Linked DNA regions of Nothobranchius furzeri. The protein of the gene in region 1 interacts with the protein of each later gene in a biochemical or structural test. Links are inferred from orthologs where the notes say so. Each region holds a gene or a part of one and is shown in the gene's direction. Other genes may lie near its edges.

Region 1 (3,500 bases):
AGTAATTTTGTTCACGAGTGAGGGAAAACTGGAGCTTTAGATCGACAGGCGGATTGGTGCTGCATCTGCAGTGATGCAGGCGTTGTACCGGTCTGTCGTGGTGAAGAGAGAGCTGAGTCAGAAGGCAAAGCTCTAGATTTACCGGTCGATGTACGTTCCTACCCTCACCTATGGTCATGAGCTTTGGGTAATGACCGAAAGAACGAGATCGCTGATACATGCGGCTGAAATGAGTTTTCTCCACAGGGTGTCTGGGCTCTTCCTTAGAGATAGAGTGAGAAGCTCGGTCATCCGGGAGGGGCTCGGAGTAGACCCGCTGCTCCTCCACATTGATAGGAGCCAGTTGAGGTGGCTCGGTCATCTGGTCAGGATGCCTCCTGGACGCCTCCCTGGTGAGGTTTTCCAGGGACGTCCAACCAGGAGAAGGCATAAAGGAAGACACAGGACACGGTGGAGGGACTTTGTCTCACGACCGCAAGGGAATGCCTTAGGATTCCCCCGGAGGAGCTGGTCCAGGTTAGCCTGGCAAGCCAGACTAAATAAATGTATTATTTAGTCTGGCAACGCTCCATTGACGGCTCTCGGTTGTGGGGCGGGTTCTACCGTTGTCTTTCAAATGATCTCCGCATTCCACTGAACAATGAATGTGACATACTCTTGTTTCACTCTGTTGTATCATCCCACCCACCAGGCATATAGAGTGCCCTGATTGGTCCACAAAGCGGATAAAGCTCTGTGATTTGTTCACTAAGCAAATAGAGCACTATGATTGGCCCACCATTATGGACCAATCACAGCTCTTTCTGTGTTTGAAACCCCTCTAGAGAGCTGTGATTGGCCAGCCAGAATGCTGTTGGGGCTTCAGAGGTTCCAATGGAGCGTTCCTAGACCAAACTTTGCAAAGCAAGAATTTTGTCTAGTTCACTAGGCTAGGTCCAGGTGGCTGAGGAGAGGGAAGTTTAGGCCTCCCTGGCCTCCCGCGACCCGACTCTGGATAGGCGGCCGACAATGGATGGATGGATTAAATTTACCAAGCTGTTGACCTTCTAGTTAAAGGGTTACAGGAAGTTGATGTCACAGCTTAAAGTGCAAATGGCTCCCAGCTACTACCACATTAAATTGTAGCTCAGTGGCTGCAAAACTGAGCTACGTTGTTTGTGTGCTAGCTAAAACACATGAGCAGTGGCAGCCATCTTGAATTAGATGTTTTGCTAACGAACAGAATCACCACCTCTTAGCAGGTGATGGTATTAAAGGTGGAACACAGAAAACCATGTTTTAATAATTATTTCTGATTCTAACGGGTCACTCTGAGTGTTTCATGCAGGCTGAACGTGGAGATAGTCTCCTACACCTATCTCCTGCATTAGCTTCAGATCAAAAACAGACAGTGAGACTCTAGGATTAGAAAATCCTGACAGATCTACGTCACACTGTCACTGAACATTCATACATGCCCTGTCAGCACTGCTGGCTAACATTGCTGTTAGCCAATCAGACGCGAGATGTCCACATATCAGGAAATGTCATCTGATGCTCAGCTCTGATTTGACACTTCCAGTCCCTGACTACGCCGGTGCTTTACATCTCCAGAGTGTGACCTGCAAGGCATTCACTCCTACTAGAGACCCCGGCGGGTGTGTCGAGTAAATTTGTGAACCACACCTTTAGCTGTTTCATGTGAAGATGTTTCAAGATGTTGAGATTTGTTCTAATAAATGGTATTTTAAACTAGCTCCTCCTCTACGATGGGTCAAACGGGGATTTTTGATCTACTTCCTGTTTTTCTCTGCTCATCTCTGGTGTCTCCCCTACAGTTGGAGAAGACCCCGCCAAGTCCCTCACGGACACGCCTCCCGAGTTCAACCAGTCCTCCCCACCGTCCAGAGTCCCGCCCACTTCCTCTCTGTCCAGCGACAACAAGTTCCACTCGCTGCCCTTCAGCCTGAACCGGAAGACCGTTCCCAATGAAAATATCAGTCAAGGGCCCATCTCCCTCTCCGTCCAGTCTGTGATGGGCGAGCAGCCCGAACCCCCGTCGCCCGCTGCCCCTCCCTCTCCACGACCTTCCACCCCTCCTCGAGGACAGCCGGGTCTGGAGGTGGGCTCTCTGGTGGAGGTGAAGGAGAACCCCCCTCTATGTGGCGTAATCCGCTGGGTGGGTCTGCCTCCGGGCCTGCTGGAGCCTTTAGCTGGTCTGGAACTGGTGAGACGTCACAAACCCATATTTATCATATATTTTATTTGTACAGATGCTCTGATTTTAGTTTTTTGTGACAAAACCGATATCTGACTCTGCACCTGCCCCTTTTCCCATAATATTTTTCCCGTTAACCTTTCGGTAGGACCAGAGGAACGTCCTAAATCTGATTTATTTAGGTAAAACGCTGAAGGAGTACTTTGCAGGAGTGAAACTGGATGATTTTTCTCAGGAAGAAGAGTGTCCCGGCTGCACCGACGGCACCTTTAAAGGTACTCGCTACTTCACCTGCCCCCCCAAAAAGGCTCTGTTTGTGAAGCTTAAGTGCTGCCGGCCTGACTCCCGGTTCCCGTCCCTGCACCATTCCTCCAATCCCATCGAACGCTGCAACTCTATTGGTGAGTCAGAACGAGGCCTTTGACTGGTGCAAACACGCAACGATTGTTCCCTAAAATGTGTTTTCTCTGTTTTCTCTGTGGCATTGGCAGCCTTTGGGGGGTATCTGAGCGAGGTGGTACACGAAAACACTCCTCCTCGTACGGAAAACGACGGTCTGGATGTCATGGTGGGGAAGAAGAAAGGCATTCAGGGCCACTACAATTCCTGCTACCTGGATTCAACCCTTTTCTGGTCACTTCCTGTTCAGATTAGAGAACTTGGGTCACATGGAACGATCCTGAATATGCAGGTTTTAACGGGGAGGGGGTTTGTTCTGCAGTCTTTTCTCCTTTAGTTCTGTTCTGGACACGGTTCTGTTGAGGCCGCGGTCGAAGACCGACGTCGAGTATTACCGGGAGACCCAGGAGCTGCTACGCACAGAGATCGTCAACCCGCTGCGCATGTAAGTCACCGTAACGACCGCCGCTGCGATCAGCTGATCGGCACACCAATCAGTGTAGTTTGTAGAAAAAAGGTCAGAAGTTTCAAACCCAAATCACTTCATCACAGTTTGATTTGAACTCTATTTTGTATTCAAACGGGACAATTTAAACTTGTAGTCTCTGCTGATGAGGGTCACACAGGTCGTCTGCTACAGCTAAAGGAAAACGTTCATCCTGCCGTGGTCGTTGCATCAGTTTCACTGCTTGTCAGATATCCGATAGAACAAGCACGACTAGACCAGGCTCACTGAAAAACCCTTTTTACTTGTTATTTTAGAAAAAACGATCAGTCACAGATGGTAAACAGTAGGGCTGGGGGTAAACGATTATTTTTAAAACGATTATTCTGACGATAATTTTATCAAATAGTCGACTATTCTAATGACTATTTAGACGATTAATCTAATGATTATTTTTCT
Region 2 (3,500 bases), on another chromosome or scaffold:
GTTCTGCCACAGGGGGCAGCACTAAGAGGTTTTTAGACCTAGATTCTAGATTTAATCAAGTTTTCACAAACATGTCAAAAAATGCACAGAAACAGAACAGTTGCATTTGCAAAGACCCAATTATACAGTTAATTAGCAAAAAAATATTAGTTTGGGGTTTAGTTACGCTTTAAGGAAATTAAGCTGTTACTGGCCAAACCTTCCGATCCCCTCATTGGCTGCTATGAGGTGAGGAACTCTGATATCCAGAAGGAGCTTGGAGTAGAGCTGCTGCTTGTCCACATCCAAAGCAGAAGCAGAAGCTTCAACAGGTTGGGGCGGTGTCTATGCTTATGTTTGTGACATCACAACAGGGGTAAAGTTTGAAATGGCTTGTTGAAGCCTACGATTCCTGAGACGAAAATCTGACAAAAACGGTATGAACAGGGTTTTATCCGTGTTTCAAGAGACAGTAGAGACCCACATGGCAACACAAAAGGATGCAACAAGGTATTTTTGCATAATATTTCTTTTAAACAGCAATTCTCTAAATGTTCAGCTGTTAACTCACAAAATAACATGGAGGCTCATGATGTCGGTCATCATTGGAACAAATTAAACGAGGAACTAATGGCAACGAGAGCAACAAATAGATGCAAACTTTTTGTGTTTTGAGTTTTCTGTTTACACAGAAAATTCATAATAAACATTGTCAGTGGAAACATTTTAAAACTCCACCAAGTTGTAAGATTTCAAAATGGGCAAACCAAAATTCGACCAATTCCAGTCACTTGTTAGGGAGTCGGTACACAAACGTTCTAGAAAACATCTAAAAATCTACCACCACAATACGACTTCCTCTTTCTCATCTCTGATTTCAGGAGAACACGCAGAGCTGCAACGGCAGGAGAGCGCTGACGGCCACTCCTTTCAGCAAGGAGACAAGGTGAAATGTCTCTTAGAGGTGGACATCCTGAGACAGATGCAGGAAGGTCACGGAGGATGGAACCCCAAAATGGCCGAGGTACGAAATGCAAAACAGACGGATGACAAACACAATAAGGATTTTAGCTTTTAATTAAATGTAGAAGTATTTCATTAACTTTCTTTTTTTAATCAGTAAGCCTGTTGTGCACAAATGTGTTTGTTTTCAACAAAACTCTGGCTCCACAATCACAAAAACACTCCACTAGGACAAACCGAATCCTTTTAGAACAAGGCTGAGCATCCAACTTTGCAATTACAGCTGCTAAAGAGAATAATAAGGTCACACCGAGGGGAGACCCAGGGTGAAACGGTCTGTTTGTGTTGGCAGTACATTTGTCGGATCGGGACGGTTCATAGAATAACGGACCGAGGAGACGTCCGGGTCCAGTACAGCAACAACATCCGCTGGACTTTCCACCCAGGCGCTCTCACAAAGGTACGTAAATACGGAGCAGGATACGCTGGTTTTGATTCAGAACGATTTCATATTTTGGCTTTTATTTTATCTTTATTTAGGTCAACACCTTTGGAGTTGGCGAGCTAGTGCGAGTGCTGGAGGAGATGGAGACGGTGAAGAGACTGCAGGCCGGTCATGGAGAGTGGACAGACAGCATGACTCCTGTATGCTGAGTTATAGGCTAACTAACTAAAAGGTCGGCTGATAGGGCGACCTCTGCATGCAGGTGTAGTGGAGCTTTAAGCTAAAAGTCACTTGACTTTAGGAGAGACGAAGTGCAGTTTAGATGGATTAATTGTTTGGGATTTGGGTGGTCTTTCACAAATGTACAAAATGACAAAAAATCTATTTGCCGTCTTTATTTTAGCAGTTTTTCTTTCTATAACCAGTCATTTTATTTAACTGGAATTCTTTTAAAGCAAACTAGTTTAAAGTTAGGATTTAACTGCTTGATTACTTAAAATGTCAGAGGGACAGAAATGGGGCATTAATACATCCTTGATTTGTTCATTTGCTCTTTCCCTCTCCTCACACCTGGTTTCTGTCGTTGTTTACCCTAGGTTCTTGGCCAGGTCGGCAAGGTGTTGAAGGTGTACGCAGATGGAGACCTACGAGTTGCATTTGGAGGCCAGACATGGACTTTTAACCCAGCATGCCTTGCAGCTCAGCCTGCAGAGGTAGATGCCAACCTCATGACAGCTGAGAACCCCATCGAATCTGGAAGTAAGGCCTCCTCCGGGACCAGGGGGCTCATCCCAAAATGCTGCAGCTCCAGCTTCACCTTTCATCATGCGTTCTTTCCTCCTCTCCAGCCCTCCTTCCAGCACCGTCTCCGCTTTGCATGCTTTCTCATATAGGCGCCTCCATCTGTGGCCTTTCTGTTTTTTCCCCCGATTGTGCGAGCAGGGTGTTGGTTTCTTCAAGTGCTCTTTCCTGTAGCATGCCGCGATGCAGCTTGTTAACAGCAAGAAGCTTTGGCAGCTCAGCAAACGTTTGTCATCATGTCAGAAGTTCTCAGCAGGCTCTTAATCATCTTGTGCTCTGTCTGTGTATGTGTTCACCTCACCAATGACAAGGTGAGAACCAAAACCGGTGTGTGGTCAGGTTCCACTGCATGGAGGGACATTTTGACTCATTCATGTGTTCATTCCAGCCCTGAAAAAGTCATCATCCTATAACTTAGAGTTTTTGTCCCTCTCTAAAGCCGTCTGTGGTTACTGTTGAAATGGAAAAGCTAACTCTTGTGTCTTTTTTTCTGTTTCCTCTCCCGCTCTGTCCAGGTACTGTCATCTCAGTGCTGGAGAAGCTGCTGTCTCAGTCCACGGAACAGGACAACCCCAGCCGGCTGGTCATTGAAGCAGCGCACGGCAGTGCCAGCAAAGTGCGGGAGTTGGTGCAGAAGCATCCTGACAAGGTGAGCGCAGCACTCCTGTTTGCTGCAGTCTGCTGTCCGTTCCAAGACGGGGTGCGTGCGTGGGTGTGGGGTGTGGGGTGGGGTGTGGGGGGCGCTCAAAACTTGTTTAGAACAAACTAAGCACTTTGACATATTACCAGTCTGATTAAATTACTAATTTACTCCTATCATATTAGCATAATGAAGACTGAAGTGAGGCAATGACCAGCAGGGTAGTGCTAGCCCAGTTCTCTCAAAAGTTCCTCTTTTGCTTATAGAATAAAAAAATAACGAGTTCCATTTCTGTATAGTTCAACTCGACTTCCTCTTATTATTTTTAAGTATTTAATATAATTAAATTACACATAATCAAAAAATATTTTAATCTAAATATTAGTCTGCATCCTCTGCAGAGCACATTCTAATAATAATAATAATAATAATGATGATGATGATGATGATAATAATAATGATGATAATGATAATAATAATGATGATGATAATAATGATAATAATAATAATGATGATGATGATGATGATGATAATAATGATAATAATAATAATAATGATGATGATGATGATGATAATAATGATAATGATAATAATAATAATGATAATGATAATAATAATGATAATAATGATAATAATGATAATAATGATGATAATAATGATAATAATAATAAT

What was found.
Region 2: of the proteins of cyld (region 1) and mib2, one has a biochemical effect on the other in vitro, tested with the Homo sapiens proteins (2 studies listed by BioGRID, with this or other methods). The link is inferred for Nothobranchius furzeri from reciprocal best matches to the Homo sapiens genes CYLD and MIB2.

Annotation. Positions count from the first base shown.
Region 1 is NC_091749.1:70,997,817-71,001,316, forward strand, and holds part of cyld (ubiquitin carboxyl-terminal hydrolase CYLD), read left to right. Parts: intron 1-1,817; coding exon 1,818-2,206; intron 2,207-2,432; coding exon 2,433-2,598; intron 2,599-2,688; coding exon 2,689-2,830; intron 2,831-2,918; coding exon 2,919-3,041; intron 3,042-3,500. UniProt on the Homo sapiens protein: Deubiquitinase that specifically cleaves 'Lys-63'- and linear 'Met-1'-linked polyubiquitin chains and is involved in NF-kappa-B activation and TNF-alpha-induced necroptosis.
Region 2 is NC_091755.1:36,254,299-36,257,798, reverse strand, and holds part of mib2 (E3 ubiquitin-protein ligase MIB2), read left to right. Parts: intron 1-860; coding exon 861-1,003; intron 1,004-1,294; coding exon 1,295-1,402; intron 1,403-1,482; coding exon 1,483-1,587; intron 1,588-1,983; coding exon 1,984-2,146; intron 2,147-2,703; coding exon 2,704-2,837; intron 2,838-3,500. UniProt on the Homo sapiens protein: E3 ubiquitin-protein ligase that mediates ubiquitination of Delta receptors, which act as ligands of Notch proteins.